Linked DNA regions of Canis lupus familiaris. The protein of the gene in region 3 interacts with the protein of the main gene of each other region in a pairwise test. Links are inferred from orthologs where the notes say so. Each region holds a gene or a part of one and is shown on either strand. Other genes may lie near its edges.

What was found.
Region 1: the proteins of SNAP29 (region 3) and STX12 interact in binary tests that used the Homo sapiens proteins (3 or more experiments, as listed by UniProt). The link is inferred for Canis lupus familiaris from reciprocal best matches to the Homo sapiens genes SNAP29 and STX12.
Region 2: the proteins of SNAP29 (region 3) and ATF4 interact in a two-hybrid assay, tested with the Homo sapiens proteins (2 studies listed by BioGRID and IntAct). The link is inferred for Canis lupus familiaris from reciprocal best matches to the Homo sapiens genes SNAP29 and ATF4.

Annotation. Positions count from the first base shown.
Region 1 is NC_049223.1:71,975,298-71,979,413, reverse strand, and holds the start of STX12 (syntaxin-12), read left to right. Parts: upstream 1-1,310; coding exon 1,311-1,428; intron 1,429-4,116. UniProt on the Homo sapiens protein: SNARE promoting fusion of transport vesicles with target membranes. Together with SNARE STX6, promotes movement of vesicles from endosomes to the cell membrane, and may therefore function in the endocytic recycling pathway.
Region 2 is NC_049231.1:26,489,717-26,493,966, reverse strand, and holds ATF4 (cyclic AMP-dependent transcription factor ATF-4), read left to right. Parts: upstream 1-1,599; 5' UTR 1,600-1,813; intron 1,814-2,421; 5' UTR 2,422-2,513; coding exon 2,514-2,739; intron 2,740-2,832; coding exon 2,833-3,659; 3' UTR 3,660-3,744; downstream 3,745-4,250. UniProt on the Homo sapiens protein: Transcription factor that binds the cAMP response element (CRE) (consensus: 5'-GTGACGT[AC][AG]-3') and displays two biological functions, as regulator of metabolic and redox processes under normal cellular conditions, and as master transcription factor during integrated stress response (ISR).
Region 3 is NC_049247.1:30,788,670-30,792,313, reverse strand, and holds part of SNAP29 (synaptosomal-associated protein 29), read left to right. Parts: intron 1-1,302; coding exon 1,303-1,499; intron 1,500-3,644. UniProt on the Homo sapiens protein: SNAREs, soluble N-ethylmaleimide-sensitive factor-attachment protein receptors, are essential proteins for fusion of cellular membranes.

The sequences.
Region 1 (4,116 bases), on a different chromosome or scaffold from region 3:
CTTTAAGGCTGAATGCAGGCTCATTCACTCATTTCGGGTCTCCTCCCAAACAGGCAAACAGCTTCCTCTCTTGCCATTCCCCAGAGATTGCAAAGTAGGCTGGGGTGGGGTTGGGTGGAGAACACATGAAACAAACACTGCCAGTTTCCCCTTCATTTCTTCCTATCTTGATCCCTTCCCAAACCCAAATCCTACCCACGTCTGTCCCTTTATGATAAGTTCACAAAATGCAGTCTTCTGTGGGAACATTGAGGTCATATGCTCAAAATTAGGGAATGATTTTTCTCCCATCCTCAAGGGAATGTTTTTTAAAATTTGAGAATCTAGTTCTCTAAAAAAAAAAAAAACCTGGTTTGGGATATACAGTAAATGAAGAGGCTGTTTGGGAAGGATTTAGATGGAGAATGAATTTGGGAATATGAGAATGCGTTTTAGGGAAGTAGCAAGATGAAGACGTAGTTAGCTTAGTGTTTGGGTTTTGCAGTCAAATCTCAGAAAAGCAAATTAACCCCTCTGGCCTTAGTTTTCTCCGTTTTGTAAAGGGGTAAATAACTCTTGACGAGTTACTTTGCTTCAACATTAAAAAAAAAATCGATTTTCCATTATCTATTCTGAACGTAAAGATAGTTAGAACATTGTCCCTTGTCTATGAACAAGTGAATTGCGGTGAAGATTGATACATAGCATGTGCTCAATAACTATTATTATCATCGCTTTATTGTTTGGATTAGAAGAGGGGTGGAGGGAGTAATGAAAGCGACCTGTACACCTTAGAGGTGCTCCGCAATTACTACCAAAGCCCTACAGGATGGAAGTAGAGTGGGGAATTTCAGGAGTTCGGTTACCGCTCTGAGTTACAGGGGTGTGGAATTCTCCCATATATGGGCCCGACTTCTCAGTATAGAACAGAATAGGATGCTAGGGCTGAGGTCATCTGGTACAGTATTATGCTAATCAAGAATCCTCGCCTCCCGTCGCCGTGCTCTCGGCGAGAAACAACACGGTCACACCGGCTCCTCCAATCCGAGCCCTAACCGCGTGACGTCATCGCCCCGCCCCATTTCCCCAAGGCCCAGGCGGCCAGTCTCTAAGCGCCTCTCCGCGGCACCAGTTCCAGCGGCGCCTGCGCACGCGCGGCGGGGCGGGGCGGACGCGTGCGCGCGGCGTGGGGGCGGAGCCAGTGCGCACGCATCCCGAGCCCCTTCCCCCGCCCTTTCTCTTCTCGGTTTCCCCGTCAGGCTGCGGGTTCAGTCTGGCGGCTGCTTCCGGTAGGAGCGCGGTGCCGGGAGAGTCGGTCTCAGTTCCTCGTCATGTCCTACGGTCCCTTAGACATGTATCGGAACCCGGGGTCCTCTGGGCCCCAGCTCCGGGACTTCAACAGCATCATACAGACGTGCAGTGGCAACATCCAGCGGATCAGCCAAGCCAGTGAGCTGGGGGACGGGGCTGGGGGGCGGGGGCCGTCCCGGGGCCGGGCCTGGGTGAGGTTGCCGGGATGCGGAGCCCGGCCGAGGCTACGGGCTACGGCCAAAGCCACACCTGAGGCAGTCTCGGGCTCTCCACTGCGGGGGCGGCAGCTGTCATCCTTGAGTGTGTCAGGCCCAGGCTCCCCGAGGGTCCCCAGCCCCAGCTGAAGCTTGAATTTCTTCTCAGGTGTCCTGCCCTCATGATATTGGGGCCGAAGCAGCAGTCCTGACAGCCCTGGGGTGGGAGGGGTGTGTGTGTCATCTCGGGAGTAGTGAGTGAGTTGACTTGGCGCAGTGGTCAGCCGAGTTTTTCCTGTCATTTGCCTTACCCCCACCCACCGCCCTTTCCTCTTTGGCCAGCTTGGATCAGGAGTTGTTTACTGATCTAGACTTTAAGTTTACATTCTGCTCAGCTTTTTGCTCCTTGGAAATCAGCTTTCAGTTAAGGGAAGTGGGGAGTGCATGTATTTGGGTGACTTAATACCCAGCTCTTCCTCTAATGAATTTGGAAATCAGATATAATGACTTGTGTTTGAGGAGTGAAATGACTTATGTTTTAATAAAGAGAATTCACCGAAAACATTCCCCTTGACATGGTTTTGTCTTTTGTAGCAAAGATTTGCACATTTATTTGGATTTCAAGCTGACGAAGCTTCTGCATTCCTTCCCTATTTAGCTGCTTTTTTGAACAAATCTCATACACAGAGAAGCTCAGGATCACAATCACACAGGAAGTAAGACATGGTAGAGTTAGTGGTGGATTTCAGAATGTCGTTGCTTGTCTTAAAACTACTCCCCCACCCCCATCATTGGGTCTGAGTAAGACTGAGCTGATTGAGACAAATACAGGCAGGTTCTTGTGCCTGAAGATCATTGCAGAGAGCCCTATAATCAGGTTAGTGGCACAACTTTACTTGGAAAGAATGGTGATCAGCATCCTTTATTATTGTGTTTTTGTGAGCTTGGCTCTACTCTGTTGATAGAACTCAGTTGGTCCTAAATTATAATTATGTTCTATATATAAAGAGGGGGAAAGTTTCTGATGGAAAGAGTGTGAGACCAGGTGAATTGGAAGTGGAAGGAAAAATATGTGGCCTGTTAGGATAGAAATTTAAAAACATTAATATGACCACTGATTTGAAAGTGTAGTACTTTGTGTTCCAATGTCTCCTTTTGTGAGGGAGCTGTAGTACCAGTTAGGTCAGGAAGATTCTGGTTCAAGGCTGAAAGTTTATTGTTGAGGCTAAATCTAACCTTAATGTCTGTTTGAGAAATTTTCATTCTACAAATGTTTGTTTGACTATTAGATATACTCATATTGAGTATAGGAACTGTCATAGCCTGGATTCTTTCAACAGGGAGCCTATGGAGTACGTAACAACTGAAGTATAAAGTTGAAAGGGTTCAGTACTGAAGAATAGGTATAACAACATTGAGTAGGTATTCAGGGGGAAAAGATACCAATTTCACTTGGGAGGGATCTGGGAAACCCATTGTGGCATTTGAGCAAGTCTGGAAAGTAGTAGAAAGGATTTGAACTTTTAACAGTGAGGAAGGGAAGAGGAGGGAATAAAATGAACAAGGCGTGGTAGTGGGAAAGCATGGGGTGTATATAGAAAAGTAGAGTGATTTAATTTGGCTAGAAGGGATTCTAGAAAGTTGTGGAAAATTGCGTTGGAAAGGTAAGTTGAGGGCAGCCCAGGTGGCTCAGCGGTTTAGCGCTGCCTTTGGCCCAGGGTGTGATCCTGGAGACTCGGGATCAGGTCCCACGTCGGGCTCCCTGCATGAAGCCTGCTTCTCCCTCTGCCTGTGTCTCTGCCTCTCTCTTTCTCTCTGTGTCTCTCATTAATAAATAAAATATTAGGAAAAAAAAAAGGAAAGGTAAGTTGGGGCCCAAACATGAAGGGCTTTAAGCGCTAAACTAAAGGGGGGTGGATTTAGTCTTTTTTTTTTTTTTTTTTTTTTTGAGTATTTATTTGTGAGAGAGAAAATGAGTGGAGATGAGGGTGGGAGGAAGGGACAGAAGGAAGAGCAGACTCTCCACTGAGCAGGGCGCCTGACCCAGGGACCTTGAGACATGAACTGAGCCAAAGGCAGCTACTTAACCAGCTAAGCCACCCAGGAGTCCCTTGGATTTAGTTCTTTAGGAATGTATAAATTGAATTGGAAGGGAAAAACTGGAATTAGAGACACCAGTCAGGAACTGTGAAAATGAAAAGGAAGGAAAGGATAGGCTTCTGTGGTGACAGAATTGATAAGATTTAGCTGTTGGTTGGGTATTGGGCTCAAGGGATTATTGGAGTCAACCATTAATAACACTAATAGCTAACATTTGAGTACATTCTGTGTGCCAGGCAATTTGAAAAGTGCTTCATATGCATTATCTTACTTAATTTTTTAACAACTCCGTTTAAGTAATTACCAATATTATTTCTTTTTATGGGTTAGGAAACAGATTGATAAAGTTTAAATAATTACTGAGCAAACAAATGACAATTTCTGAATTTGAAACCAGATCTGTCTCTTATGACCAATAATTAGCCTTTTTATACTTTTTAATTAATATTATATTTGTAGCAGTTAGCACTTTTAAAAAAATATTTTATTTATTTATTCATGAGAGAGAGAGGCAGAGACCTAGGCAGAGGGA
Region 2 (4,250 bases), on a different chromosome or scaffold from region 3:
AATTAGCCTCATTTTACAGATGAGGGAACTGGCTCAGCAAGGATAAACTGCTTAACCAAAATGTCTCAGCTACTAAATAGCAGAGCCAGGATCCTTTGGGGTTTGCTTCTAAAATCTGAGGCCTGACCCATGCCTCCACTGGCAGCTGTGTGGCTTTGGGCCACACACCTCCCATTAGTTCTCAGTTTGACCTTGTAAAGAAATCGTTGGGCTGGCTAGTGAGTGGTCTGTAGTTATCAAGGACAGTGTCCGCCCCCCCCCCCCCCCCCCCAATTTTTGACCTCACAGCCCTCCTACAGTTCTATGGCCCACTAAAACGGAGGCAGAAACTCCAAGGTTTCTGCCCTCCAGGGGCCTGAAGGAGACGGAGGATAGTGGAGACCTTTCCCGGCACTCTTCACAGCTCTCCGGTGGAGAGCAAGTTGCAGGCCTTGACCTGGACCGCCGCTTCCAAACACGAACCTCCAAACCTCCGTGAGTGGGCGTGGGTGCTCAAGATTCTCCCCCCACCAGGTTGCAGAATTGGGAGAGGGACAGATACCAGTTTAACAAAATCTCTTAGGGGAACTGCATCTGTATAAACCAAAAGAAGTTCCCTGTGATAGACTGCATACTTTTAACAGAAACGTTTTGGCAGGCCGGTATGCGAGAGTCACTAACTGGGCTAGATTGTGCACCTTCCCGACCGGACTGGAGAGTTCACGGGAAGGACGCGGCGTTGGCCCCTGACGGTGTGTGGGGAGCGTTTAGAACCCGACTGAGGCCCTCAGTCTCCCCTTTCAGCTACTTCGGTGCTTGCGTGTGATGAAAACGCACCCGAAATTCCACTTCCTTTTGCCTAGTTTCATCTCGGGCCTGAACTTGGGTCTCTAATTCGGAGCTGGACGGAGGGTGGCAGGAAGGGACCACAGGGGCCAGGGCCTGATGTCGCCGTTTGGGACTCCTCGGGCTCCAGAAGCCCGGGGGAGGAGCCAGGGTCGTCTCGGACAGCCTCGCGTACGCCAGGCTCAAGAAGCCACTACAGAGCGGATTCACCGAGACGCGGCCACGGAGGACACAGCCCGGCGGCGGGAACCCCGCTGGCCGCTCCGCCCCTTCCCGCTCGGACCCGGCCTCCCGCTCGGAGCGGCCCGCCCATCCCGGGGTCTGAGCCAATAGGAAACCGAGATATATATGACTCACCATGTCTAACCAATCAGCTCGACGCTCGCTCTCCGCCAGCATCTCGCGCGATAACCAGGCGGCCTCTGACTTCACAATAAAAACCTTCCTTGAGGTGAAAGACTTCTCTCCCCGCCCCCCAGGCTGACGCCGGAAGCGAGGTGTGTCTGAGGAATCCCTCCGCGCTCCCGGCGGCAGAGGGAGGAGAGGCTCTTTGATCTTAGTAGCCTTGCAAAGTAGCGCGCCTTTTTCCTTTCTCGAGACGTTGGAAGTAACAACTCTTCTCTTCACAGCTACGCCGTGGACCTAAAAGTCGCTGGTCGGACACGATAGGGGCGTCGGATCGCGAAGACGGGTGGGTGGGAGGCGCGGGTCACGTGACCGCGGCGGAAGGATGTGCGGTGTGATGCGTCCTCATAGAGGCAAAGTCTATAAAGGACCCTCGATCGGCGCGGCGCGGCCATTTCCCTTCCTCCCGCCTGTAGATGTAGATCCCTGTGGCAAGCGTGCGCCTTCCCTCCTCCAATCCCCCAGGGTCCGCGGCCGCCATGGCGTATTAGAGGCAGCAGTGCCTGCGGCAGCATTGGCCTTTGCAGCGGCGGCAGCAGCACCAGGCTCTGCAGCGGCACCCCCCAGCGGCTTAAGCCATGGCGTAAGTACGGGGCCGCCCGCGCCGTGCTCCCCCGGGTCGGCGAGGGCAGTCGGCCCGCCTGGGCGCGGCCTGCGGCGGGGCGGGGCGGTGCCGCGTAGGGGGAAGCGGCTTTACGAGCGCCCGGGACGCGTGGCCCCTGTTTGGGTGTCCTCGAGACGCCGACGCTTCTGGGTCAGGAGAGTGCGGCCCGGCGGGGAGAAGCGAGCCCTCGGCGGCCCCGGCCCCGGCCGCGGCCCCCGACGGCTTCCCGCCCGGCCCCCCGCGAAACGTGGCAGGGGCCAAGATGGCGGCCGGGCAGGGCGGCGGCGGCGCAGCGTGAGTCACGGGCGGCCGTGGGCGGGGCCGGGCGGCCTGGGCCGTATTTGGACATGAGCCGGGCGCGCCTCCTCCGGCGGCGGGGGGAGGAGCGGCCCGGCCCCGAGGGCGTCCATCTTGGGCGGCCCGACGGGGCCGCGGGGAAGGTGGAAGCCATGGCCCCGGGGCCACGTGTCCCCGAGCCTCTGCTCCCGAGTGGAGTTCCAGTCTGGCCGTCCTGCCCCCGGGAGGAAGGGATGAGCTTCCCGGACCGGCCGATGTCGAAGGGGTTTCGGTTTCTGCTTCCGTTTCAGGCTTTTCACGGCATCCAGCAGCAGCGTTGCTGTAACCGACAAAGACACCTTCGAATTAAGCACATTCCTCGATTCCAGTAAAGTCCCGCGACATGGCCGAGATGAGTTTCCTGAGCAGCGAGGTGTTGGTGGGGGACTTGATGTCCCCCTTCGACCAGTCGGGTTTGGGGGCTGAGGAAAGCCTAGGTCTCTTAGACGACTACCTGGAGGTGGCCAAGCACTTCAAACCTCATGGGTTCTCCAGCGACAAGGCTAAGGCGGGCTCCTCCGAATGGCTGGCTTTGGATGGGTTGGTCAGTGCCTCAGACAACGGCAAGGGTGAGTGGGGGTCGTTGGCCGCCGGGTCTGGTCTCCGGGCTGTTGCTGAAGTGTGCGTCTGACCTCTCGGGTTCCTTCTTGACTCTTTTGCAGAGGATGCCTTCTCCGGGACAGATTGGATGGTGGAGAAAATGGATCTGAAGGAGTTTGATTTTGACACTCTGTTCAGTATAGATGACCTGGAAACCATGCCAGATGAGCTTTTGGCCACGTTGGATGACACGTGTGATCTCTTTGACCCCCTAGTCCAGGAGACTAATAAGGAGCCCCCTCAGATCGTGAACCCAATTGGCCATCTCCCAGAAAGTTTACCAAAAACAGACCAGATTGCCCCCTTTACCTTTCTGCAACCACTTCCACTCTCCCCAGGGGCCCTGTCCTCCACTCCAGATCATTCTTTTAGTTTAGAGCTAGGCAGTGAAGTGGATATCTCTGAAGGAGATAGAAAGTCAGATTCTACTGCTTACATTACCGTGATCCCTCAGTGCATAAAGGAGGAAGATGCCCCCTCAGATAATGACAGTGGCATCTGTATGAGTCCTGAGTCCTATCTTGGGTCCCCCCAGCATAGCCCCTCTACCTCCAGGGGCTCTCCAAATAGGAGCCTGCTGTCTCCAGGTTCCCTCTGTGGTTCTGCCCGCCCCAAACCCTATGACCCTCCTGGAGAGAAGACCGCAAAAGTAAAGGTTGAGAAACTAGATAAGAAACTGAAAAAAATGGAGCAGAACAAGACAGCAGCCACTAGGTACCGCCAGAAGAAGAGGGCAGAGCAGGAAGCCCTCACTGGTGAGTGTAAAGAACTGGAAAAGAAGAACGAGGCTCTGAAGGAGAGGGCAGATTCTTTAGCTAAGGAGATCCAGTATCTGAAAGATTTGATAGAGGAGGTCAGAAAGGCCAGGGAGAAGAAAAGGGTCCCCTAGTTGGGGGTGTCAGGAATGTGTGCTTGTACATAGGCTTGCGCTGAAGCTGTGTTGTAATAAATTATTTTGTAGTGAAAGTACTTGAGCTCGTGTGTACCTGGTTTCTTGTCTTAATCTCTACCCTGGTGATGGTGACCAAGTCAAGTGGAGTTGGCTCAATCCTGTTGGGCTCAGGGCCTCCACAGGAGACTCTGGGGGTGAGGCTGTGGCCTCATAAGCCATAACACTGACTAGTCTTGAGTACCCAGGTAAGGCCCCACCTGGGCATACAAGGTTAAATTCCACTTTGAACTCAAGTTCTGTAAACTCAATCCTGGAACTGCAAAGAAAAGGTCTTTGGGTTTTTCTTGGAATGGACTGTTAAAGGAGTTTTAAAGAGATGCAGAAATTCTTAGCCAGTGCTGGGCTCAAAGGCTGGCAATCTGACCAGAGGAATCCTTGCTGCAATTGGTGTGCAGGGCTAGCTCTCCAGGAAGAGCCAGTCTTGACGTTCATTGGAATGGCGATGGGGACACCCAGTGTGGCACCAGGTAGTGTGAGCTTTTTATGTGCTTTCTCCTGGTCCCTGGGGTAACCCTGTGGGGCATTTCC
Region 3 (3,644 bases):
CCTGTTCCTGCTGCCACTCTCCACATGGAGGGCAGGCAGCCAAAGCAAGAGGGCAAGTGGTTGGTGAGATGAGCCGCCATGAGAGACCTCGCTGCCGGGGAGGCCACGGACCTGCCTCCTGGTGTGCCAGGGCCCTGGCAGTGTGTCAACTCAATAAACATGTAAGTGCTGGAGAACATCATTTTGATCCTAATTAAGAGCCTTGCCTTCCTTATTCCAGAAAAGACTTATCCTCAGAATGGACGTGAAGATGACAAACCTGAAGTGTTGGAAGAAGGAGAAACTCTAGATAAATTAGCAGCTTTGGTTTTTTTCTTTTTCTTCTAAAAACGAGCTCTTGCAAGTTTTGACACAGTCCAGGCATTTGCAAGAATGACACAGTGCAGGAAAGGTTTTTCCTTTTGTTTAAAAAAACCTGATGGTTTCTTCAGACATGTCTCATGGGCCAGTGAAAAAACATTTAAACATTCAAAGCTGTAAAGCTCAGCATTTTCTAAGTTTATTTCCAACAGGAGTTTAACAGAATTTAATAATAAATTCAATGGATTTTTTTCTGCCCGTACATTATATTTCAAAATTTCACCTGCTGTAACTATTGAGAACTCAGATTGCACGTTGTGTCCCTAAATGGTCTAAAAGCTTTCTACTGACACTTTTAGAAGTAACAAACCCATTATATATTTTTTGTTTTTATCCTTCAGTTGTCTGGAGCATTTAATCAAAAATTGTTCATGATTTTGTTTTAAGATATTAAGAGAGAAGTCTGCCACAGGTAACATAACTGCTGGGATCAGATATTAACAGGGCCCAGAAAGGACCCAGAACCTAGCTTGTGAAAGAACTTGAAGTTGTGACCAGGGCCAGGTAGCTCCAGTGACCCACTGGAAATCCCATATTTGAAAAGGGGGCTATAAGAGCCATAGTCCATGGGGCAGTGTCAGGTCAAAGGCCGTAAGTTTTACAGGGGGCCAAAAAGAGGGAGAGCTGGAGGATGTGCCACCAGTCCAGGCCTGCGCTCTGACCCCCACAGGTACGCGTCATCCATCTTAACATGGTCCTGTGAGCCAGCATCATGTGGGCAGGAGGGAAAAGGAACTCGGGAGCAAGTACGAAAGAAAGCCCATTGAGGCAGGACAAAGGAATGTGGTGTCAGAAAGGATAACATTCCCCTCACAGATGGCAGTATCTTTATGTGTCCCCACCTGTGCTCACTGAGGCCTCATGACAAACCTGCTCTGGGTGGTCCCCTGCAGGGGGAACATTATAAAACGGTGTGACGCCATCACCTCTTGTTTTCCCCAGGAGCTCGTCCGTCAGCGGGGTGTCTTAGAACGCACAGAGAAGATGGTGGACAAGATGGATCAAGATTTGAAGACCAGCCAGAAGCACATTAACAGCATTAAGAGCATGTTTGGGGGGTTCGTCAATTACTTCAAATCCAAACCAACAGAGACGCCACCCGAACAGAATGGCACCCTTGCCCCCCAGGCTAACAGCAGGTGAGTGGATCCTCAGCCATCCAGATATGAAGTAGCCGAAAGTGGGCTTTAGTGCAAATGGTTAAGACTTTGAACCCACTTCTAGTGCCTTGAAGGGATCCAAGATCTTAGTAAGTTACTCACTGGAAGGGATTTGTCCTCGCACATTTTGAAAAAAGAAACATTTCTCCAGCGCTCCTGGTGGTGTTCATTATTTGATGGACGTCCAGTCTAAATAAATTGGGTCTCCAGTAAATTACTGCTCTAGTAATTGCCATTCGAAAGAATATTCATTTCAGAAAGCTGAATCAGGATAAATGTGACTCACTTCACGGTATTTTAAAAATTCTTTAAAAAGTCTTTATATCCAATATTTCCATATCTAATCCAGCCTGGCCATTAATTTTCATTTTAAAAGTAGATGTGAAGGGGAGGTGGTTGGGGGGTTGGGGTAACTGGGTGATGGGCACTGAGGAGGGCACTTGATGAGATGAGCACTGGGTGTTATACTATGTGTTGGCAAATTGAACTTCAGTAAAAACAAATGAAAAAAAGTAGACATTATTCTCAAAAGTTTCAATTAGATAATAAAATCATACATGTGATTTTGACAGATAGTTAAATATCACGTGTACAAAGATAAGAGTCAGGGATACCTAGGTGGCTCAGCGGTTGAGTGTCTCTGCCTTTGGCTCAGGGCATGGTCCTGGGGTCCCGGGGTCCCGGGATCGAGTCCCACATCAGGCTTCCTACATGGAGCCTGCTTCTCCCTCTGCCTATGTCTCTCTTTCTCTGTGTCTCTCATGAATAAATAAATAAAATCTTAAAAAAAAACACACACAAAGATAAAAGAGTCAGGTTTCTGCTAAAATAAGTTATGTTTCAGATCTCAGACCATTGTGTCTGTTTTTTTGTTTGTGTTAACGATTTTATTTATCTGAGCAAGAAAGAGATCACAAGAGAGCATGAGCAGGGAAGAGAGGGAGAAACAGGCTCCCTACTCTAGGGCTTGACCTCAGGTCTCCAGCCACCCAGATGCCCCCTTTGTATCTGTTTTTTTTTTTTTTTTTTTTTATTTATGATAGGCACACAGTGAGAGAGAGAGAGAGGCAGAGACACAGGCAGAGGGAGAAGCAGGCTCCATGCACCAGGAGCCCGATGTGGGATTCGATCCCGGGTCTCCAGGATCGCGCCCTGGGCCAAAGGCAGGCGCCAAACCGCTGCGCCACCCAGGGATCCCTGTATCTGTTTTTTTATTGTAAACCAATATGGCCTTATTATAGAAAATCTATAGCTTACTTACCATAGCACAAAACCTCACAACTTCATTTCCTCCCTTACTCAGTGTTTTCATACCTGCAATCACAGTATTCATTTGGTTTTATAGCCTACTTCCATTTACCCCAGAGTAATGTCTGAGGTAATGTTATTCCACAGATTTCATAGCCCTATCTCTGTGTTTATCTTTTAAATCTGGAATACGGGATCCCTGGGTGGCACAGCGGTTTGGCGCCTGCCTTTGGCCCAGGGCACGATCCTGGAGACCCGGGATCGAATCCCACGTCGGGCTCCCGGTGCATGGAGCCTGCTTCTCCCTCTGTCTGTGTCTCTGCCTCTCTCTCTCTCTCTGTGTGACTATCATAAATAAATAAAAATTTAAAAATAAAAATAAAAATAAATAAATCTGGAATACGGAACGATTTTTTAAGACGAATTTTTTTAAGTGCATAAGTGACATACGGTAAAGTGCACACATCTTAAGTGTGTGTTGACACTTCTACTAAATGGGTGACTGTTAACCTGTGTGGCCACCACCTAGATTAAGATATAGGGTATGGTCGGGAAGAAATGAGGAAACTATTTCCAGCCCATAGTTGTACTGGGGAGAAACAAGTGCAGATGAAGGAACTGAGAGTGTAGCAGAAAGACCAGGCAGGTGGATCTTTGGAATTTATGGAGAGGAAACTGCAATAGGGGAGCAGGCAGTTGATGGGGGCCCATAGGCTGTTCCTGCGGCTACGCTAGCCAAGGTCACAAGGATCAATTTGTTTTGACGATCAGTCATAATCACCATCCATTCCTGATTTTCCAACTTGGCCCTGATTTCAAATATCTCATTTTTCCCCAACTGGGGGAGTGTCTAGGATTGTTTGGTTGGATTTTATC